Oryctolagus cuniculus: one gene and its partners. The protein of the gene in region 2 interacts with the protein of the main gene of each other region in a pairwise test. Links are inferred from orthologs where the notes say so. Each region holds a gene or a part of one and is shown on either strand. Other genes may lie near its edges. The genes, in order: F11R, SGTA and SDC4.

The links.
Region 1: the proteins of SGTA (region 2) and F11R interact in binary tests that used the Homo sapiens proteins (3 or more experiments, as listed by UniProt). The two-hybrid records come from large-scale screens. The link is inferred for Oryctolagus cuniculus from reciprocal best matches to the Homo sapiens genes SGTA and F11R.
Region 3: the proteins of SGTA (region 2) and SDC4 interact in binary tests that used the Homo sapiens proteins (3 or more experiments, as listed by UniProt). The two-hybrid records come from large-scale screens. The link is inferred for Oryctolagus cuniculus from reciprocal best matches to the Homo sapiens genes SGTA and SDC4.

Annotation. Positions count from the first base shown.
Region 1 is NC_091438.1:37,792,009-37,799,555, forward strand, and holds the end of F11R (junctional adhesion molecule A), read left to right. Parts: intron 1-3,573; coding exon 3,574-3,642; intron 3,643-3,750; coding exon 3,751-3,858; intron 3,859-4,047; coding exon 4,048-4,194; intron 4,195-4,432; coding exon 4,433-4,635; intron 4,636-4,781; coding exon 4,782-4,884; intron 4,885-4,988; coding exon 4,989-5,096; intron 5,097-5,334; coding exon 5,335-5,347; intron 5,348-5,638; coding exon 5,639-5,687; intron 5,688-5,847; coding exon 5,848-5,883; 3' UTR 5,884-6,751; downstream 6,752-7,547. UniProt on the Homo sapiens protein: Seems to play a role in epithelial tight junction formation. Appears early in primordial forms of cell junctions and recruits PARD3.
Region 2 is NC_091447.1:59,201,821-59,209,367, reverse strand, and holds part of SGTA (small glutamine-rich tetratricopeptide repeat-containing protein alpha), read left to right. Parts: intron 1-4,617; 5' UTR 4,618-4,650; coding exon 4,651-4,750; intron 4,751-5,322; coding exon 5,323-5,429; intron 5,430-6,164; coding exon 6,165-6,252; intron 6,253-6,618; coding exon 6,619-6,718; intron 6,719-7,547. UniProt on the Homo sapiens protein: Co-chaperone that binds misfolded and hydrophobic patches-containing client proteins in the cytosol. Mediates their targeting to the endoplasmic reticulum but also regulates their sorting to the proteasome when targeting fails.
Region 3 is NC_091442.1:13,908,044-13,915,690, forward strand, and holds the start of SDC4 (syndecan-4), read left to right. Parts: upstream 1-3,238; 5' UTR 3,239-3,332; coding exon 3,333-3,395; exon of another isoform or gene 3,396-5,642; intron 5,643-7,647. UniProt on the Homo sapiens protein: Cell surface proteoglycan which regulates exosome biogenesis in concert with SDCBP and PDCD6IP.

The DNA of each region.
Region 1 (7,547 bases), on a different chromosome or scaffold from region 2:
AATAAATAAATAGATCTTTTTTAAAAAGTATGCCATTTTGTTACATAGTTTGTCTCCATTAAACCGACGGCAGTTCTGAGGAACAGCTGTATTTACCAGACAAGAGAAGGGTATAGAACACAAGGGATGCAGGAGGAAGCCTCTGGCACTTCAGCTCTGTCATTTCCTTGCTCTGAAACCTCGGGCCAACCACTGAGCCTTTTTTTTTTTTTATTTTAACTTTTATTTAATGAATATAGATTTCCAAAGTACAGCTTATGGATTACATTGGCTTCCCCCTCCCCCAATGACTTCCCTCCCACCCGCTACCCTCCCCTTTCCCGCGCTCTCTCCCCTTCCATTCTTATCAAGATTAATTTTCAATTTTCTATATATACAGAAGATCAGTTTAGTATACATTAAGTAAAGCTTTCAACAGTTTGCACCCACATAGAAACACAAAGTGAAAAATACTGTTTGAGTACTAGTTATAGCATTAAATCTCAATGTACAGCACATTAAGGACAGAGATCCTACATGAGGAGTAAGTGCACAGTGACTCCTGTTGTTGACTTAACAAATTGACGCTCTTGTTTATGGCATCAGTAATCTCCCTATGCTCCAGTCATGAGTTTCCAAGGCTATGGAAGCCTTTTGAGTTCTCCGACTCTTATTTAGACAAGGTCATAGTCAAAGTGGAAGTTCTCTCCTCCCTTCAGAGAAAGGTACCTCCTTGTTTGAAGACCTGTTCTTTCCACTGGGATCTCACTCACAGAGATCTTTCATTTAGGTCCTTTTTTTTTTTTTTTTTAATGCCAGAATGTCTTGGCTTTCCATGCCTGAAATACTCTCATGGCAACCACTGAACCTTTGAGACATTTAGTTTCCTTGTTTGTGAAATGGGAGAAGTAATAGTTATCAGCACAAATTCACAGTGTTGTCATGTCAGATGGAAATAAACGTATTTATTTATTTTTGAAGATTTACTTTATTTATTTAAAAGGCAGAGTTGCAGACAGGTTACTCCCTGAATGGCCACACTGCCTGGGGCTGGGCCAGGCTGAAGCCAGGAGCCTGTAACTCCATCTGGGTTTCCTGTGTGTCCTTGGATCATTTTCTGCTGCCTTCCCAGGCGTATTAGTTGGGAGCTGGATTGGAAGTGGAGCAACTGGGACTTGAACTGATGCTCAATGGGGGCTGAGCAGCTTAAACCGCTGTGCCACAACGCTGGCCCCTGAAGTAAAGGTATTTTGAAGCGTTGTCTAGATGTAATGCCAACGGAGAGGGAAGAAGAACCCAAAACTTTACGGAGCATCTGGTTCAGACCTTCACCTTCAGATGCAGAAGGGGGTCTCAGGTCAGGAGGCCGTGGTTAGTGAATAACGAGAAAATGTGCTTGATGCACGCAGATGTGGGCATTGCACCGGTCTTTATGCACTGCTCTAGGAAGCCAGGACTCTGACTTACAGCTGCAAATGAAAGCATACTTCTTAGATTTGAGTTGTGAAAACATGAACGAGGGTAATTGTGTAAGTGCAGTTTTGTGGCCACATTGTGTGGTTCCAGAATCTTCTGCCATTGGTTCATTTTTTTTTTTTTTTTTTGTTTAAGATTTATTTATTTATTTGAAAGAGTTACAGAGAGGCACAGGTAGAGAGAGAGAGGGAGAGAGGGGTCTTTCAACCACTGGTTCATTCCCCAAATGGCCACAATGGCTGGAGTTGGGCTGACCCAAAGCCAGGAGCCAGGAGCTTCCACTGGGTCTCCCACGTGGGTGCAGGGGCCCAAGGACTTGGGCCATCTTCTGCTGCTTTCCCAGGCCATAGCAGAGAGCTGGATTGGAAGTAGAATAGCCGAGACATGAACCGGTGCCCATGTGGGATGCTGGCGCCACAGGTGGAGGTTTAACCTACTAAGCTACAGCACCAGCTCCTTTTTAAAGAAGCTTAAATTCTACGATTTGCCTCCTGTGACATGCACAGGCACAGGAGCTCTTCAAACCAGATCCCTCCAAGAATGAAGGCCCTACTGCCCCAGCTGCTGGAAATACTGCCAAAAGAAGGCCCTCCGCTATCAGCCCTCTTCTTCCGGGTCTTCCATGCTGGTGTAGGGGCCCAAGCACTTGGATCATCTACTGCTTTCCCAGGCCATAGCAGAAAGCTGGATAGGGAGTGTAGCAGCCGGGACTCAAACCGGTGCCCATATGGGATGCCGGCACTGTAGGCGCTGGGTTTACTCATTGCATCACAGTGCTAGCCCCATGTCATTGGTTCTTATTGTGTTACATATGTGGGGACCTCCCCCTCTTGTGGACCCCATGCCCATCCCCCTTCTTATTTTATTAGCCTCCTGGCTCCTCACTTCCTCTCTCCACTCCCACACCACAGCACCGTTTCTTTTAAAGGTTTATTTATTTACTTTGGAAGAGTTGTAGAGAGAGAGGGAAAGAAAGAGAGAGCTTCTGCCTGCTGTTTCACGTCCCAGATGGCTGCAATGGCCAGTGCTGGACCAGGCCAAAGCCAAAAGCCAGAAGCTTCTTCCAGGTCTCCCACATGGGTGCAGGGGCCCAAGCACTTGGGCCATCTTTTGCTGCTTTCCCAGGCCACAGCAGAGAGCTGGAAGGCAGTGGGAAAGGTGGGACCTGAGCCAGCGCCCATGTGGGATTTGCCTGCTATGCCACGACGCCGCCCAGCACCTTTTCTCTTCTTTCTCTGTTTGGCAGGTGGGAGGTTCTCACGAGCTGCTGGAGCCCACTTCCAGTCCTGGCTCCACCTCGGACTAGCACTTTTTTTTTTTTTTTTTTTGACAGGCAGAGTGGACAGTGAGAGAGAGAGACAGAGAGAAAGGTCTTCCTTTTTGCCGTTGGTTCACCCTCCAATGGCCGCCGCGGCCAGTGCACTTGCGGCCGGCGCACTGTGCTGATCTGAAGCCAGGAGCCAGGTGCTTCTCCCGGTCTCCCATGGGGTGCAGGGCCCAAGCACTTGGGCCATCGTCCACTGCACTCCCGGGCCACAGCAGAGAGCTGGCCTGGAAGAGGGGCAACCGGGACAGAATCCGGCGCCCCGACCGGGACTAGAACCCGGTGTGCCGGCGCCGCAAGGTGGAGGATTAGCCTACTGAGCCGCGGTGCCGACCTTTTTTTTTTTTTTTAAACTGCTATTAGTTTCAGTTCCTTGTGTAAAATTGGGATAATAATACTTGTCCTGCTGACATGTGAAAACCCTCTGGGAAGCACCCAGCGGGCCCCAAATGCTGAGTATCATCCTCATTCCTTCTGCTCCTCCTTTGCCCACCCTCCTTGCCTTGCCTGCAGCATCGCAGCTTCCTCCCAGGATTGCTTTGACAAGTGCAGGGGTCCCAGCACGGGGCCCATCTTCTACTGCTTTTCCAGGCCATAGCAGAGAGCTGGATTGGAAGTGGAGCAGCTGGGTCTTGAACCGGCGCCCATATGGATGCCGGCGCTACAGGTGGCGGCTTTACCTGCTGCTCCACAGCACCAGCCTCAGCTCGAATCTCTTGACTCCTTTCCCCTGAGGATCTCGGCTGAGAAGCCCTGTTCTGTGTGCTGATGGGGCCCACCTCTTTCCTTCTCAGGTTCACTGGCGCTGGGCAAGGGGACAGTCTACACTTCGGAACCTGAAGTCAGAGTTGCAGAGAATAATCGTGAGTTGGGAGGGGCTGTGGAGCAGGGGCAGGGTGGGTGTGAGGTGAGCGGGTTCCAGGGCCAGGGGTTGGGATCATTCTCCGTCTTCTCCTTTCGACCCTCTGCAGCGGCAAAGTTGCCCTGCACTTACTCTGGCTTCTCCAATCCCCGTGTGGAGTGGAAGTTTGTCCAAGGTACAACCACCAGCCTTGTCTGCTATAACAGCAAGATCACAGGTGAGTTGTCCCGCTTCCTTCCTCATTGCCAAGGTTGGGGAATCATTGATCCATGCCTGGGTCTCCCTGGCCTTCCCCTTCTGCCTCCTGGAGGAAGAAGAGGACCTACGTACACCTTGGGTCCCACCTTCCTTGGTTCTCCTGTTCTCTGTTCACTCTGCTCTGCCTTTGCTTCCTTGCTCCTGGCAGCTTCCTATGAGGATCGAGTCACCTTCTCACCGAGCGGCATCACCTTCCGTTCCGTGACTCGGAAAGACACTGGGACGTACACATGCATGGTCTCTGAGGACGACGGCAACAACTATGGGGAGGTCACCATCCAGCTCACTGTGCTTGGTATGTGCACAGTGTTTTCGACTGTTTCCCTAAGCCCGCGTCAGACCCTGCTGAGCTCTGGAACTCGTTGATGACGAAGAGGAGATGAGCCCTTGGCTGGATGCAGATTAGGGGCCTGCCAAGGGAGGGCGGCCACAGGGTTTGGATCGGGGTGTCATCCTAGGCAGCTACTTGGACTCGGGCAACACCCCCAACCCCTCCATTGTGTTCAGCACCTCTTTCCTTCTCTCCCTCCCAGTGCCTCCATCCAAGCCTACAGTCAACATTCCCTCCTCCGCCACCATTGGGAACCGGGTGGTACTGACCTGCTCAGAACAAGATGGTTCCCCGCCCTCTGAATACACCTGGTTCAAGGATGGGATGCTGATGCCTACAGATCCCAAGAACAACCGTGCCTTCATCAACTCTTCCTATACTCTGAACCAAAAGTCAGGGGAGCTGGTATGGATGGGGTGGGGGTGGAAGATGTATGAGAGGCACAGTTGCAGAACCCCTGAACAAGCAACAAAGTGGACTTGGAGTCAGGATCAGGGGATACTTGGGAGAGGTTCTTGGCTTTTTCAAGCAGAAAGCCAATTTGTTTCTAGGTCTTTGATCCCTTGTCAGCCTTTGATACTGGAGAATACAGCTGTCAGGCACAGAATGGATTCGGGACACCGGTGATGTCAAATGCTGTGCGCATGGAAGCTGGTGAGTGAGAGTGTGGTTGGTGCTTGCATTCAGTCCTTGAGTGGCTATGTTATTGGTACCACAGGTAAGCACCCAGGCACCTGACCTCGTGTTGTGTCTCACAGTGGAGCTGAATGTAGGGGGCATTGTGGCTGCTGTCCTGGTCACGCTGATTCTCCTTGGAGTCTTGATCGCAGGCATCTGGTTTGCCTATAGCCGAGGCTACTTTGACAGTGAGTTTGGCTCTCCTTTGTGTTGTCTCCATCCCAGGCATGGGTTCATGGGTGCTCTCCGAGCCCTGACCCTGACACTTTGTCCCTGGATATGGGTGTCTCCCCCCCTCCCCAGGAGCATGGGTCACCTGATCTAGCATGTATCAGATGCCCCGTGCTAGTCCCCTCATTGTGTGTGCCATGCTGTCTTGTACCCTGCTGACACTCAAGATCCCATTTTTTTTTTTTTCTCTTCTAGGAACAAAGAAAGGGTGAGTGACATGTTGTCCTGGGATTGTCGGAGGTGAAAACGTGGATGCATGTGGTTTGCAGCATGGGCCCAGGGGGATGGGCTGGAGAAGGAGACAGCCAGCCTCGGGGGAAGACCTTGGGATTTCTACCCCTGCTTGCTGTGACCCTGGCCTTGTCCTGTCTCCCTCTGTGCACACCTCTCTGCTGAGCACTTCTGTAAAGTTCTTGGTTCTGCCCTCTGAAGTTGGAGGGGAGGGGGTGGCTCTGCACCTGGGGACCTGAGTGTCTCCATCTTCCATCTTCATCTGCAGGACCTCCAGCAAGAAGGTGATCTACAGCCAGCCCACTGCTAGAAGTGACGTGAGTACACTGCCCTGGGGAAGGGGACCTCTGCACACACACGCACACCCCCACACACTCCCAGGGAGTGAGGGGGTTCCCAGCCTGTGTGTGCCTGTGTTTGGGGGATTGTAGGCTAAAGAAAACTAGAGAGAGTTGACTGGATGTTTTCTCTCCCCAGGGCGAATTCAAACAGACCTCGTCATTCCTGGTGTGACCCTGGTCTGGCTCCCGCCTGGTCCTGTGCTTGCCTTACTCCGGTGCTACTAGACTCTAGCCCCTGGTGTCTGTAGTTTTCACAGGCCCTCTACTAGCATCTCAGTTAGGATGTGTTTTTTAATGATGTCAGCTATGTGCCCCTTCTCCCTGTACACACTCTCTCTCAATCCTGCTGCTGCCGAGTGGCCTGGGATTGTAGAAAATTCGTATTCCTCAGCCTATGAGGGGTCAGACAGGAATCCCGGCTGTGCCTATTAACTCCCTTCTACGTAGACAGCCAGAGGGGTGGGGCTTCCTGAAACCCGCCATCGCTACCCAGCTGGGCCGCAGTGGCTTCTGAATCGGTTTCCCTCCCCATGGAGAGCCAGTGCCAGCCATTCTGGAGTGGGGGTCGGAGACTGGAGCGGCTGGAACCGTTGTTTGGTGATGACGTTAAATCTCCTCCATCTCTGGAGCCCACTGTTCTGTCTCCTCACCGGAAGTGCCACGGGGTCCTGTCCTCCGTCTGAACAAAAGCAGACTGGCGCTGTGTCCGTAGGAAAGCCGAAGCACAGTAAACCTTCAGGGGACACGGAGTGGAAAAGATTTAAAACCACAGCTCTGAAGAAAAGCTGGAGCTGGTAGCCCAGACCGTCACCCTTCCCTTGGCTGGAACAACTGGACAGAGCCCTCTGAGACTGTGTGTGTCTGTGGGGCCGTGTGTGGCAGCTGAGCCCGTGTGTGCGTGTGTGTGTGTGTGTGTGTGTGTGTGGTCTTAGCCAAATGCTGAAATTGGATGGATGTTGGGAGGTATCTTAGCTCTTTGGTGAGATTGCGTTTCTGTGCGTTTGTCTTAGCTGGATGTTGGAAATAAAAAGTTGACTTGTCGAAGGTTCTTTTTGTGGGAAGCTGGAGAAAGGAGATCTTTGAGGGTCCCTGAGCTCCTTTGTTCAAACAGGAAAATGCCTTCCCTGCAGCCGGGGGCTGGTTCCCAGGACCCTGTCCTGCCTCGCTTCCTGTTTCCTATCTCAAGGCAGAGCTGCTTCCTGGAGCACGCGTTCCAGAACCCTCTGTGACCAGGCCTTCTGCTCGGCCTGCTCAGCCAGGTGAGAGGAGAGGGTGCCCCCTCCCTCTTCCCGCCCAGCCAGGTGCATTAATGGACTTCTCTAGGGCTGCCGGCAGAGCTGCTTTGGGGCCGAGGCAGGGAGTTCCTCAGATCCTTTGGAGAACTTTAGTGTGAAGTAGTAACTGATGCTTTGTCTACTGGGATGGGGTTCAGGAGAGACTGAAGCCTCCTAAGCAAGGCAAGCCTGGCCATCATTGCTTTCTTCTTCCCATCTAGAACCTTCTCTGCCCCTAAATTTCTGTTTCCCCATCTTCTACAATCCCTCAATCTATTTATTATGTAGCAAGAGAGCAAAGAAAGGGTCCTGTTGACTATCTTTTATTTCTTTCTGTGGCACGTGAATGCCACTTTGTCATGTTCTAGCCCCATATCTGAAAATCCCTAACTCAAAGTTGAGTTTTCTATTATGGATTTAAAAAAAAAAAAAAAAAAAAAAAAAAGAGGGTTAAGGGTCATGTGTGTCCCAGTAACAAAAAATATTTCCAGAGGAAATAAGATCCAATTCACTAAGTAGAGATCGTGGTATGGTTCAGTAAGGATGAGATTTTTAAAGTATG
Region 2 (7,547 bases):
GGCCGTGAAACCCGGCGTGGTCGCAGCCCCTGCCCGGGAGGCGGGCGAGAGCCGCGGGGCGCGGCGGGCAGCGGGCACCGTGGACGCCAGGCCGGGGGCGGGGGCGCGGCGGGCACCGGGAAGGCATGGCCGGGGGCGGGGCGGGCACCGTGGACACCGGGGCAGGGGCGGGGGCGCGGTGGACACCGGGCCGGGGGCGGGGCGGGCAGCAGGCACCGTGGACACCGGGGCAGGGGCGGGGCGGGCACCGTAGTCACCGGGGAGGCATGGCCGGGGGCGGGGCGGGCAGCAGACACCGTGGACACCGGGCCGGGGGCGGGGGCGCGGCGGGCAGCGGGGAGGCCGGGCCGGGGGCGCGGCGGGCAGGAGGCACCATGGACACCGGGGACACCGGGCCGGGGGCGCGGCGGGCAGGAGGCACCATGGACACCGGGGACACCGGGCCGGGGGCGCGGCGGGCAGCGGGCACCGTGGACACCGGGCCGGGGGCGGGGCGGGCAGCAGACACCGTGGACACCAGGCCGGGGGCGGGCGGGCAGCGGGCACCGTGGACACCAGGCCGGGGGCGGGCGGGCAGCGGGCACCGTGGACACCAGGCCGGGGGCGCGGCGGGCAGCGGGCACCGTGGACACCAGGCCGGGGGCGCGGCGGGCAGCGGGCACCGTGGACACCGGGGCGGGGGTGGGGCGGGCACCGGGGAGGCCGGGCCGGGGGCGCGGCGGGCAGCGGGCACCGTGGACACCAGGCCGGGGGCGCGGCGGGCACCGGGGAGGCCGGGCCGGGGGCGCGGCGGGCAGGAGGCACCGTGGACACCGGGCCGGGGGCGGGCGGGCAAGCCCACCGCCTCCCTCCGGCGCTGCGCTGCCCGGGCAGACCCTTCCCCCTCCGAGCTCTCTGAGCCCGGGGTCGCTTGGACGCTGCCGCCCGCGCCGTCGGAGGGGGAGCGCGCCTCGGCGGGTGCCCGGAGCGCGTGGGCGACGTCTCGTCCTGGTCCGATGTTGGGGTGGGGGGTTGTCCTGCGTCCCCCTGGGAGCTGGGGTGTCAGCCTGTCCCGGGGTCGTTTTGGGGGGGGCCATGCGTGGTGCCGGGGCAGGGGGTGCACCCCGTGTGCCGTCTTGCGGTGCCCAGGGCATAGCCTGGGGGTGGCCCCGAGCCTCCCTGGTGCTCAGGGTGTGTGCGGGTTTATGCGGAGGGGGAAGACGGGCCCATGGGAGTGGCGGCTCCGAGCCCGCCTGCCTGGGTTCGGGGCTCCGGGCCGTGTCCGTCTTTCTGTGTAATGGGGAGCCTGGTCGCCACCAGCCCGGAGGCTGAGCAGGCCCGGGAGCCACAGTTTTTGTGAACAGAATCCGCCCCCCCATGGCCACGCTCCTCCCTCGGGCACCCTCCGGCCGAGGCTGGAACCGCAGTGTCGTGACCTCTGGCCCAAGGATATGAGGGTTCCTGGGAGGGCGAGTGACCCCCGCGGGGACTGCTCTGCCCAGCCCGGGCCCCTGGGGAGCTGCAGCCGCACTCGTGCCCGGCCCGGCCCGAGTGGGGGAGGCAGGCAGGCGTGGGGGACCCAGGAGACCTCCCGGGAGCTCCCAGGTTTGGACGGAGCAGGTGCAGGGGTTCCGGCCCGTGGGACGGCGGGGGCGTCGCCAGAGCTCGGGGGGCTGCGGCTGGAGCGTGCGGACGCCCGGGTTTCTCTCCTGGGGACGCTGCGGGACTGGGTGGCGCCCGGAGCCCCCGGGAGGACCCCGCGTCTGCCCGCACTCCGCGCGGAGGCACCGCTGCCTCCCGGGAACACAGCGGGGCTCCCGCGGGGCGTGGCTACGCCTCCAGGGTGGCGGAGGGGCGGGGCCACGAGTCCACGGGGGTCCCCGCGCTCAGCACTGCAGGGGAGGGGGGCAGCGAGCGGCGGCTGCCGTGTCCGGGTTCTGGCGGCAGGATGGGGGGTAGAGTCAGCGGAAGGGGGCTCGGAGCAGCCCACGCGGGACCCGTCTCTGGGACCCGGCGGCCCACCCTGGCCTCTGCCTCCGCGCCCCAGCCCAGGCCTCGCGGTGGCCTTTGGAGGAGGCGTGGCCGCCACTGCGTGCCGTCCCCCCCACCCCGCTGCCCCCGGCCAGAGCCCACAGGCTGCCATTGTTCCGCGGGCACCGGGGGCGGCGCTGGCCGCCTGCTCGGCCAGCCTGGCGGGTGTGCACTGAGTCCCGGGTCCCGCCCTCCCCCGGATAGGGGTCCTCGGGCGGCGGGCGCGCCTCGCTGACCCTCGCTGACGGGCGGCCTCTCTTCTCTGGCCAGTGGCGCTCAGCTGGGGCTGGCGGGGGCGGTCCGCGGCTGTCACGGCCGGGGCTGTTCCTGGCACGGAGGGAGCACAGCCCGGGGCGCCGCTCCCCGGCCCGGAGGCCCGCCCTGCGCACGCGTGACTGCAGAGGGGGGCAGGTGTGAGGGTCAGGCAGCCCCCCCCGGAGTGAGGTCAAGTGTGTGCAGCGCCCGGGGCGTCAGTGGAATCCCCGAGACCCAGGGGTCTCATGGGGCGAGCTGGGGGCGCCGCTCAGCCTCGTGCAGGGCAGGGGCCCCGCCCCCATTCCAGAAAGGCCAGGCCGCCGGACCGCCCACGCCTCGCAAGGCCAGGGACGGCGAGGGGGACCGGGGCCCCCGGGGCGCGGGCAGGGGGCAGCCAGCGACCAGGGCCCGTCTCTCCAAGGTGGGGGCAGGAGAGGCCTGGGGCGCGGTGGGGGTGGGCGGTGTTCCGGCAGGGGGTGGCGAGCGCAGAGGCGCGGAGGCTCACCCGAGGGGGGAGGCGGCCTCTTGGTTTTCTGACCCCCGGGACCCCCTCATGGCTCAGGTGAGGGGCAGGGAGCAGCCCCCCGCGCAGGCGCACACCCCCCGGATGGTGCTGGCCCCCCCATGGCTCAGGTGAGAGGCAGGGAGCAGCCCCCCGCGCAGGCGCACACCCCCCGATGGTGCTGGCCCCCCCATGGCTCAGGTGAGGGGCAGGAAGCAGCCCCCCGCGCAGGCGCACACCCCCGGATGGTGCTGGCCCCTGTGTCCGGAGCGCTGAGGTGGGCCCCACAGCGTCCATCGAGGTCCTCGTTTGTCTGCGGGGCGCCGGCCAACTGCTCAGGGGCCCGGCCCCCGACTGTGCCGAGATGGGGCGGAAGCCCCCAGCCTCCCCCAAGCTCCCACCCCCGGGTGGCGGGGAGGGAATTCGATTTCCCAGGACACAGTGGGACGTGGCCTCCTGCCCTCCGCTCCCCTGCCGTCGCCACGCCCCTTCCCGCCTGCGGCCGCCTCCGCCCGTGGACGCCCACAGCACGCAGCCCTGTGTCCGGCCGTACCTCTCGGGCCGCCTGGGCGAGCGCGCGTTCCCTGGGAGAAGCGAGAGCCACTCCCGACCAGCCCAGCGACCACGCGGGACCTGCTGCTGTGTCCCCCGCCACAGGCTGCGCCACCACCCTGCACAGGTGCACGGCGCCCGTAGCCGCTGTGGCACAGCCCCCTGCACGCCGCGGCTTCAGTGGTCGGGGGATGGGGCAGCCGCTGCCCAGGTCCTAGGCCGAGGGCGGCCGCGTCCCCGGCCTGCCCCAGCTGCCGTGGCGGCTGGCGTCCTCGGCGCTCCTTAGCGCTGGACCAGTCCCCCCAGCTCCCTGTCTGTCCCGCGTGCAAAGCTTCGGGTCTTACGGGGCCCGCCCTGGCGACCCAGCCCAGGCAGCCCCTGACGGCACCCGGCACTCGGGGAGGGGCCTGTGAGCGTCCGGCACCCCTCCCGAGGCCGCGTCCTGGCTCGGGGACTCCGGCCCTCCTGGGTGCCGGCCGGGGTGTCCTCCTGCGTCACTTTCATCTGTCGGTGGCCGGACAGCAGAGGCCGGGACTCACTCGGCCCCACCCGTGTGCCCAGCACCGCGCCTCTCCCACTCCCCCCTCAGCCTGGGCCCCCAGGGCACGGTCATAGCGAGAAAGGTCACCCAGCCCTGTGGGCAAGGGCCAGGGAGTGGCCTCTGGGAAGGTGGCCGCCAGCCCAGCCGCGGGGAGCTGGCGGGAGGACAGGAGAGGCGGGACACGGCTGCCGGCCGGCCCCGTGTCCCGTGGACGCCCCGTTCTGCGCTGCACCCGTCACTCGGGGAGTGCGTCGGCTCCTGTCTGAGAGCTCGGCCCGGGCCGCACCTCGCTGTGTGGGCTGGCACAGCGTCCAGCGGCTCCCGGACGGTGTCCAGGGGTCGATGGAGGCTCGGGGGGGGGCAGAGTGGGCCTGGACGCCCCCCCTGCGGGCTGCTCCCTCGCTCGCCTCTCCCCTGCAGAAGCGCGTGTGGCACCGGTGGCCGCAGACGGGGCTGAAGCCCACGGGCTCCCCAGGAGGGGGGGTGGGGCACCGCCCCCAGGTGCTGGGTGAGGGGGGGACGCGGGAACTGGGGGCTGGGGCGGCCGCCGGGGCGTAGGACCAGGTCCCCGGCCCGGGCGCTCCCTGCCCCTCCCGCCGCCTCGCGCTCCGGACGCCCGGGGCTCCCCTGGCCTCGGCTGGGAAGTGGGCGGATCCCCGCACTGGCCCCTCCCCGCGGGGGCGGGATTGGCCGCAGCGCTCTGAGCGGCTGCCCGGCAGCTGGGCCCCGGACTCACGCCCTGCGCTCGGACCCGCAGACGCTGGAAGCCGTCCGGCGTCCCCGTCTCGAGATGGACACCAAGAAGCGCCTGGCCTACGCCATCATCCAGTTCCTGCACGAGCAGCTGCGGCACGGCGGGCTCTCGTCCGACGCCCAGGAGAGCTTGGAAGGTGCCCGCCGCCCTCCCGCCCCGCCCCGCCCCGGCGCTCACCCACGCGGACGCCCGTGCCCCCTGCAGGGGCACCCACGCCCCCGGCCCCTCCAGCCGGGGCCGGCTGCTCCCGCCGGCACCAGAGGCGCTCTCCGTGGGGTTTGCATGGCCGGCCCTGGGGCTGTCTGCCCGCTGGGCAGCGCGGTGTGGGCACAGCAGTGGGACGGAAGTGGCCCCCCGCCAGGCCCCTCGTGGAGGAGGCCGGGGCGGACAGTGCCCGCGGGATGCCCCTGACTGCCGAGTGCGCTGGGCGGGCCGGGTGGGGGTTCTGGCGCGGACCCGTCCTGAGCTGGATCCAGCACCCCCCCCCCCCCGCCGTGTGCGGCAGGGCCGAGCCCCCACACCGGGAGCCCCAAGTCACCACTGTGTCCTTGCTGTGCCCACCGCCCTCGGTGCCCTGGGCCCGTGTCCCGCCTGGGGTTGATGGGAGCTGGGGGACCCCCACCCGTCCTTTGTGAAAAAAAGCCAAAGCCGCGGCAGCAAAGCAGGCCCCGCCCAGGCATGCGGTCAGCGAGGCCTCTGTCCCCACAGTCGCCATCCAGTGCCTGGAGACGGCTTTCGGGGTCACGGTGGACGACAGCGACCTGGCGCTGCCCCAGACCCTGCCGGAAATCTTTGAAGCGGCCGCCACCGGCAAGGTGAGCCCGGGGCCACCCGGCCCCCATTCCCCAGCCTCAGAACAGCGGCAGGGGGCGCGGTGGGCTCTCCCTGGGCAGGAGAGGGGCGGGGGAGGGTGTGCGCCCTGACCTGGTCCGGGCAGCAGGGGGCGCCGTGGGCTCTCCCTGGGCGGGGAGGGTGTGCGCCCTGACCTCAGCCGGGCAGCAGGGGGCGCTGTGGCTCTCCCTGGGCGGGGAGGGTGTGCGCCCTGACCTGGTCCGGGCAGCAGGGGGCGCCGTGGGCTCTCCCTGGGCGGGGAGGGTGTGCGCCCTGACCTCAGCCGGGCAGCAGGGGGCGCCGTGGCTCTCCCTGGGCGGGGAGGGTGTGCGCCCTGACCTCTGCCGGGCAGCAGGGGGCGCCGTGGGCTCTCCCTGGGCGGGGAGGGTGTGCGCCCTGACCTCTGCCGGGCAGCAGGGGGCGCCGTGGGCTCTCCCTGGGCGGGGAGGGTGTGCGCCCTGACCTCTGCCGGGCAGCAGGGGGCGCCGTGGGCTCTCCCTGGGCGGGGAGGGTGTGCGCCCTGACCTCTGCCGGGCAGCAGGGGGCGCCGTGGGCTCTCCCTGGGCGGGGAGAGTGTGCGCCCTGACCTCGGCCGGGCAGCAGGGGGCGCTGTGGCTCTCCCTGGGCGGGGAGGGTGTGCACCCTGACCTCGGCCGGGCAGCAGGGGCGCGGTGGGCTCCCCTGGCCGGGGAGGGTCTGAGCCCTGACCTTGGCCGCAGCAGGAGACGCAGCCCGAGCCGAGGAGCCCCGAGCGGACCCCGCCCTCGGAGGAGGACTACGCGGAGGCAGAGCGCCTCAAAACCGAAGGTGGGCGGGGACGAGGGGAGGGGGCGGGGTTAGCCCAGGTGTGGAGACGCGGAGCCCCCGGCTGCCCGGATCCCCGGGCCCACCGCAGTGCTGCCCCGTGCCAAGGTCACCGCAGCTGTGGCAGCCTTGGCGGGGCAGCGGCCCCAGCGTCTGTCCGCACGTGGGGGAGCGTGGTCGCCGCGCAGCCAGGAGCGAGCGAGGCTCCGACGCTCCCTGCGTGCAGGGCCCCGCGGACGTCGCGCCGGGGGCAGTGGGCAGGGCCTGGGGGGAGCTGAGCGTCCGGAGGCGCTGTGCCCCGGGCGGGTGGGCGCCCCCAGGGCCGCGAGCTGTGCCGCGGGGCAGCGGGCCTGTCTCCCTCGTCCCCAGGGAACGAGCAGATGAAGGGGGAGAACTACGAAGCCGCCGTGCACTTCTACGGCAAAGCCATCGAGCTGAACCCGGCCAACGCCGTCTACTTCTGCAACAGGTGCGCGCGGGGGGCGTCGGGGCCGCTAGGGGTCGGTGGTCCAGCTGCGCACAGGACGCCGAGCCGGGGAGGGGTCAGAGCGCGGAGGGGTCAGAGTGGGGAGGGGTCAGAGCGGGGAGGAGTCAGAGCGGGGAGGGGTCAGAGCGGGGAGGGGGTCGGGGGGGAGGGGTCAGAACGGGGAGGGGTCAGAGTGGGGAGGGTGTCAGAGCGGGGAGGGGGTCGGGGGGGAGGGGTCAGAACGGGGAGGGGGTCGGGGGGAGGGGTCAGGCCGGGCAGGTGCTCCAGAGCCGGGCAGCGTCCCGTGTGCACCGAGCCCCCCCTCGGCCTGGGCGGGGTCACGTGCACCCCACGGACCGACCCGGTGCCTGGAAAGCTCCCGACTGAAGCGTTTGGGTCACGCGTGTGACACTGCGAGTGTCCGGCCCAGCGGTTCAGACGGAGGGCCTGGCCCGGCTCCCTGCTCCGGAGGGCCCAGTGCTCGGGTCCCTGCTGCCCACGGGAGCCCCGGGAGCGCCCCCCACCCCGCTGCAGCTCGGCCGTGTTCTCTGGTCTCGGGGCGTGTCCGCGCTCTCGCCGGGGCAGCCGGGCCGGCTGTGCCCCCGCACTCTGAGCGTTTGTGTGGTTCGGGGCTCCTTGGAGAGGCCCCGCACCCACGGTCGCCATGGGTGGGGGCCCCCTCGTGACCCTCGTCTCTGGCTGGGCCCGTCCCACGCATCGAGCCACCTCTGTGACGTGGGCGGGTTCCACACGGCCCAGCCTCGGTTCTGGCGTCCCCGGTTCTGGGCGGCGTCCCCGAGAGGGTCAGGGCCAGCTCCGCTTCTCTCTGCAA
Region 3 (7,647 bases), on a different chromosome or scaffold from region 2:
TGCTGACACTGACATCCCATATGGGCACCCATTTGAGCTTCAGCTGATCCACCTCCAATCCAGCTCCTCGCTAATGCACCTGGGAAAGCAGTGGAAGATGGCTCAAGTGCTTGGGTCACTGCACCCACATGGGAGATGCAGATGGAACTCCAGACTCCTGGCTTCAACTTGGCCCAGCTCCAGCTGTTGTGGCCATCTGGGGAGTGAACCAGTAGGTACAAGATTTCTCTGTCTCTGCCTCTTTTCTCTCTGTAACTCTGCCTTTCAAATAAATAAATCTTAAAAAAAGTTGTCAAGCCAGTCTGTAGTGGTTCATGAGGGTCAATTTTTGGGAATTTTCCATGTTGATTGTTAAGGAAATTATTACTTAGAATGAAATTACATAAATGTATAGTTAAATATATTATTTAATTTTTTATTTATTTTCATTTCATTTGAAAGGTAGAAATCTTCCATCTGTTGGCTCATTACCGAAATGCTTGCATAGTCAGGGCTAGGCCAGCCAAAGCCAGGAGTCAGGAACTCCAACTGGGTCTCCCATGTGGGTGGCAGAGCCATCACAGCTGCTTCTCAGGGCGCACATTAATGGGCAGCTGGAATGGAAGCAGAGGTGGGACTCCTACCTGGGCACTCTGATACAGGAATGTCCCAAGCCAGAAGTCCGCTCTGAATAAATTATTTTGAAAACAATGGAAATCCATATTTAGAGCTCACCCCTTTATAATAATCTCACTGCACTTTACTGCTAGCTATGCCCACATTCCTACCTGCATGACCTGTGACATCTCATTAGTAACCTGAGATCAGCCACGGGGGAAGTATTTACACTACAGACTTTGGCAAATGTTACAAAGTTGTCCTCGCTGCTGTCCCCAGCTCAGTGTTAAACACTTAACTGCAGAACACTGGCTGCTGAGTAGCCTGAAACTTTCTGCACTCAGAGAAGCTGGTGGGAACAGAAGGAGTCTTGTTCCAGCAATGTGATGACAGGCAGCTAAAATCCCATAGCGATCTACCATCAAAAACCATTTTTACTTTTTAACAGATTTTTTCATTTATGTGAAAGGCAGAGAACTATCTTCCACCCGCTGGTTCACTCTGCATATGAGGCCCACGTCAGGAGCCTTGAACTTTTGTCCGGTCTCCTACGTGGGTGGCAGGGGCCCAAACACCTGGGCAGGGAGCTGTTTTCAGAAGTGGAACAGCCAGGACAACTGGCGCCCATACGGGATGCCAGCATTGCAGGCGGTGGCTTTACTTGCTATGCCACAATGCCGGCCCCCCAAAATGATGTATTTGTTGACAACTAATTAGGCTCTCCTTCAAGTCTTGTAGAAAGCAAAATTGTCAACCATTTGACTTGCTCCACTTCTGACCCAGCTCTCTGCTATGGCTTGGGAAAATAGAAGAAGGGAAAACAGCAGAAGATGGCCCGAATCCTTGAGCCCCTGTACCTACGTGGGAGACCCGCAAGAAGCTCCTGGCTCCTGGCTTCAGATAGGCGTAGCTCCAGCCATTGTGGCCATCTGGGGAGTGAACCAGCAGATGGAAGACCTCTCTCTCTCTGCCTCTCCTCTCTGTGTGTAACTCTGACTTTGAAATAAATAAATAAATCTTTAAAAATACTTTTAAAAAATCTTTAAACAAATAAAACCACATTCCAGCATAAGAAATGTAGTGGTCCTTTTCTATGGAGCACTGCCTGCCTCCAGGACCCTGCAGAAGACAAAACCCCCTCTGCTCAAGCACTCGTATTTGCATATAAATTACACACACCAACCAGCATACTTAACTACCTCTAGATTACTTAAAATACCCAGTGCAATGTAAATGTTATGTAAATAATCCTTACATAGTATTGTTTAAGGATTCTGGACAAGAAAAAGATAAAAGGACAAAAAAAAAAAAAAAAAAAAAAAGCAAGCAAGCAAGCAAGCAAGCAAAAAGCCTACACAGTAGGTTAATCCTCCTCCTGCAGCATCCCACATGGGTTCTAGTCCTGGCCGCTCCTCTTCTGATCCAGCTCTCTGCTATGGCCTGGGAAAGCTGTGGAAGATGGCCCAAGTGCTTGGGCCTCTGCACCAGTGTGGGGGATCTGGAGGAAGCTCCTGGCTCCGGATCCACTCAGCTCCAGCCGTTGCGGCCACTTGCGGGGAGTGAACCAGCGGATGGAAGACCTCTCTGTCTCTCCCTCTCACTGTCTGTAACTCTACCTCTCAAATAAATAAATAAATAAAATCTTTAAAAAAAAAAAAAAGCCTAAACATGTTCAAACAAAATCCCTCCCCCCAAATACAGGTGTTTTCCATCAAGTGTTGCATCCTTGGATGAAGAACCGCGATGAGGCGGGTGGGCAGGACGGGGCTATGCATCCTGGTACCCTGATTGATCATAAGAAGACCCCCCCCCCCCCATCTCCAACAGCTCCTGTGCTAGCACTCCCAAGATGCTTTGAGCAGTTCGAATCCTGGCTATTCTCCACCCACTGTGAGGAGATGAGGGCTTCTGTGAAAGGAGAACAGACCAGATCTCAGAGCCGGCAAACCTTCCGGAAAATTCGAAATCTGGAAGACGAAAAAGCCCTTCAAACAGGTCAGGCACCCTGAGGCCAAAGTCTGAGGCCCATCCGGGACTTCAGTACAGCCCCCAGCTTGGAATGCTTTCTCCGTTTTTACATGGTTGGGGGGAAAAGTCAAAAGAATCATTTTTCACACCATGTGAAGGCGATGGGAAATTCAAATTTCAGGGTCCACAGAGAACGTCTTATTAGAAGACCGCCAGGCTCACTCCTCTGAGCGCTGGGGCGGCGCGTGAGCCGGCACGCCGGGGTTTTAGGGTCCGCAGCAGATGGTCAGACCCGCTAGCACTGAAAAAACGCCGCCCTTTGCAGGAGCCGGCAGACCCCCGCTCGCGCCACCGGGGGTCACACTCGGCACGGGAGGTCGGTCGTCCGCCACCCGGCGGCGCGCTGAAGGCTGGTCTACACGGACGAAGCGGGGCCAGTCCTCAGTCCCCGGGCCTCAGTGTCCCCAGCCGTTAAGTGGGGTCTGCCGCAGGCATGTCCAGGGGCTCCGGGAGGGGAGGACTGGGGTTGACTGGGAGCATGGCCGGCACGCACGGGCGGGTCCCTCGGGGTTTCCAGCCCCAACGGGAGGCGCAGCGCCCAGCAAGCTCGGTGTTCGCGGGGGAATTCCGGGCGGGGTGCGGGTGGCGGGGGCGGGGGTGGGCAGGGCCGGGCCTGGCCGGGGCGGGGCCGGCCGCTATAAGTTGGGCCGCGCGCCCGCCCCGGGCCACTCGCTGCAGTCTGCGCGCCCGCCCTGTGCCGCGGTACCATGGCCCCCACTCGCCTGCTTGCGCTGCTGCTGCTGTTCCTCGTCGGCGCCGCCGCAGAGTCGGTAGGTGCTTGGGGACCCCCGGGCCGGGGGAGACGAGCCGGTGTCTCCTTTGTTCCTGCGAGCCTGGGACTGGAGGCGGGGGGCCACGCGGGGGGATGCGCCGCCGCCCCCTGGACGCCGAGGCCGGGCAAACTTGGTTGGAAACTTTGCTCCGGGACTGGCTCCTCCGCGCGCAGTGCGCTCGAAGCTCGTGGCTCTCGCCGCCTGCCCCGGCCGACGTGACTAAGCCGGTGTCAGCGCTCTGCCCCCGCCCCCTCGGGCCTGTCCCGGGACCCCCGGGCAGGCTCGGAGCGCTGAAGCCCCCGCCTCGCGGTCTGCGTGCCGGGAGAGGGCAGCTCTAGAATCCGGGTGGCCTGGGGATCGGAGAGGGGGCTTGCTGCGTGTGCTCCGAAGGGGGGAGGGGTTTCACATGCCGGGGAGCGGGGAGCTGAGCCCGCGCCTCGCTTCTGGACGCAGCCCCGCCGTCGACTTGGGCGTCTCACTTTCGCCATCTGCACACAGGCTGGGCGCGAATGGGGGGAGCCGCTCCGCTTCTTTAGGGTTCCATAGAAAGTTGGGAGTCTGACCTTTCAAGGGCACCCGGGAGGGGCCGCCGAGGCTCGGCGCTTGGTCAGAAGCTGAATCTCTGCCCTCTGCAATGAGACGGTTCGTTTCTGCCCAGCTGGCGCCAACCCCCCCCCCCCCAGGAGGTTGAAGCGCCCCCCTTGACTGGGGTGAGGGGGTGGGGGTAGAAGGCCCCAGAGAGCTCGGAGAAACCTTTCCTTCTCACTTGGCTGGTCTCCCTCGCGCTTTCCTCCCTCAGCCAGGAGAGAGGCAGCCTGGGCTGGGGGCTAGGGCGCGGAGGCCAGAGATGATCCGGGTGAGCCTTGCAGTTTAATCATTAAAGTTAATTGCTTTGAGAGACCTCGGACTACTTAGAGGCAAAGCTGTCTCTGCCTGGCAGGCTGAGGCCACAGCCAGCAGCGCAAATCCCAGGCCCTCGGGGACTTAATCCAGCGTTCAGCCCTCTTAGGGTGCCGGGCACTGTTCTAGTAGCTTTCTAATAGCTCTTTCCTCCAGCAGAATTCCAACAACACCCCACTGTTTACTGTTCTTCCTCTGGTCCTGAAGGAAGAAAGGTTAGTAACTAGCCGAAGGTCACACAGTTAATTAGGGGCTGAATCAATTTAAATGCAGGTGGCCGGTCATTTATCTTAACTTCCAGGCTTCTGCTACTGGGTGGATCCTGGGCAGCTCAGCGCTGGTTTAGAGCCTGTTAGGGTTTTAGGCTGGAAGGCCTCTGGGAATTCTGGGGTGTGACGCCTTCCCAGTCTGAGGGCAATTTTGCCCAAAGGTCAGTGGCTGAGCCAGGACTAGAACCCACGTCCTCAGCCTCCCTGGTGCTATGCACTACACTGGCCCCCAGAGGAAGTGGCTGATGCGAAGCAGGTGGGAAGGTCTTAAAGGGGACTCTGCCTGGGTGAGGGGGCCCTGGAGGGCTGCTGAAGTTGTCAGAGGGGTGGTCACACTCCCGTTTCTCCCCAGGGCTGCTGAGCCGCCAGGTGCTTGGGGTGAGGAGCAGACAGCTGTGTCCCGGGGGCAGTCCGAGGATGTGGTTTGGGGGAGGGCACTGTGGCAGCCCTGCAAAAGGCCACCTATTGGTGGGGGAGAACTCAGCCAGGACAGCTGCTTCCTGAGACAGGTGTCAGTCTCTCATCCTGACCTTAGCGCTCCCCTTCCTGGCTACCGTCATGACCTCCTGCCTCTCACTGGGCTTCCCGGTTTGTCCCCCACCCCCTCAGGCTGTGGCTGCAAAGGGCTTGGGAGAGGTGATCTCCTGTGCCAATTTTTTTTCTTGTTGCAGGTAGAGAAAAGTGAAGCCAGGAAGAAGGGTTTCCCTAATAGCCATTAGGGTTGACTGAGTACTTTGCAAATGCCAGGTCTGGTGCATTTTATCCTCATAAAAGCCCCTAGCATGGTGGGGATTGTATTGTGCCCACTGTCCAGATGAGGGAAAGTGGGACCAACATGGAGTAGCAGAGAGCACCCAGGCCATCTGAATCTCTGACCAGCAGTCCCCTCCCCGAATGCTGTCTGGACCCCTTCCCAGCGTTAGGATGAATGTCTTTTCCTTGGGTGGCCCTCTTCCCCCATACTGCCACAGGTTCCGGGGAGCAGGACCCAGACTGAGTACCCAGCACCCTCTCCTGTCCTGTTTGGCGGGCTTACCATCCCTAAACCTGTTCTTCCTGTCCAGCCGGGAGCCTCCCCCCCCCCCCCCCCCCCCCGATCTGCTTTCTTGCCACTCCCTCTCTGGCCAATTAAAGGCAGCCTTGTTTTGGGAGTCAGCCCCCCACCCCCCATCCCTCAGCAGCCAGAGGGGTGTTAGTGCTCAGGGGCATGGCCCTCTGACTTGGCCACGAGGCCCGGAGGCCCGGGCAGTTCTGAGGAGGTGTCCCCTACCCACCAGATGTACTTGAACTTCAAGACACTTCTGGTCTGCCCGAGAGTCCGCTGCTTGATTGCCCCCAAGTGGGGCTGGGGGCGGAAGTCTTGAGTGGTCCCTGAGAGCCACTGGGACTTCAACTCCTGGGCCTCGAAAGTTATCAAACCCCCAGGCAAATATTTGGAGGGCCCCATGAGGCTGAGGAAGTGGGCTGGTGTTCCCTGTCTATAAAATGGGTGTTTGCGCTGGACGCCTCCCACAGCCCTTGCTAGCTCTGATATTTGATTAATAATTAAGTGCCAATTGCTCAAAAGGGACTGTGGAACCCATAAGAGCATTTAAGGCATTCCCCTACCTTGGAGAAGCTTGTACTTCCCCGGAGAATTAAGGCACACCACCTCATTCTGGCAGGGGGGAGGTGCCCCCTCCCTACCCCCCCCCCCCAGGGCAGGAACTCTGCTCTGTTTGAGTGAAATACCCGTCCTGTAGCTGGTACTTAGGAAATGCTTGCATGAATAACAATTCATGACCGTAACTTCGTGTTTCTCAACGGCGCACTGAGCGTGTGCATTCCGGGTAGGAATGCCTCCCAGTGACACGGAGGCGGGTGTGATGCCCCTTTTTCTGCAAGAAATTGATGCTCTGAGAAATGTGGTGGCTTGGCGAGGTCAGAACCAGGTCTGACAGTGCACGGCGTCTGCCTGAGTGTCCTCCTTGAACGTTGCTGGGTTTGAAGGCAGAGCCACATTTCTGTCCTGCTGGGTGACCTTGAGCATACGGGGCCCGTGTCCCCAACTCTTAAATGAGGAGGGCTGGATACTGCCTCTGAAGGGTTCTTGCTGCCCATTGAGGAGGGGAGAGGCGCTTTCTTGGCCTCCCTGATGAGGCGCTTAAACAAGTCCCAGTCTCTGAAGAGACGTGGGGTGAACATTCAGCTCCTGCCATCCTCCAGCTCCTAGGAACCGAGGGCTTTTCCAAGGACTTGGAGTGCTGAGCGGGTCTGAATGAGGAACTGGGGTAGCCAGGCTGAGCTGCCAGCCCCGGCTCCCTGTGGGGAGGAATTGTCCTTCAGCCTCCCGGACTGGACTGGGGGTGTGTGTGGTTTCGAAATAAATATTTAAAATCGGGGGCAGGGGCTGGACAGTGCTTTGTGAGTCACTGCAGACTGGCAAGCCTTCCTGAGTCACCCACTTCCTTTCATCCTCCTGGCTAATAGGATGGCTGCGTGCTGGCCGTGCAGGACAGGGCTGCTGAGTCTTACCTCGTCCTCTGGATTCCCCGCCCCACCTCCGGCCTTGAGGGAGGGGTCATATAGGAAATGCTCCAATGAAGCCCTCAGCCTTCACAGTCCCTTGCCTGTGGGTGGACCTTGACATTGCACGGAGTTTAGCCAGTCCTCAAAATCCATCTTTAGCCCTCTTGCAGAGCAGGTGGCATTGTCCACCCACCTCCCCCCAGAGCCAACCTGAGGCTGCACCTGGTCTGGGTTCCCAGAGCAAAGCAGGCATGGCTGGGATTTTATCTGACTCCAGGAGCCTCTGTCACCCCCTCCTTGCTTCCTGGGGCTGGCAGGAGGGCACTGAAACAGTGGTTTGGAGTCGGGCAGATCTAACTCCGGCTCTTAATTGCTGGCTCCGTGGCTTTGGACTTGCTGCTCAAGCTCTCCGAGCCCCCTAGCCTCAGGCCTGAGAGGGGGGAGGTGTCTCTTGGTGACAAGGCCCTTCCTTGCCCAGGCCACCTGGACGCCAGGTGCTCTTTTGAGGATTCCACCTGCCCCCCCTCCTGGAAAGCCTCTCACCTCCCCCATAACCGTATCCAACTCCATAG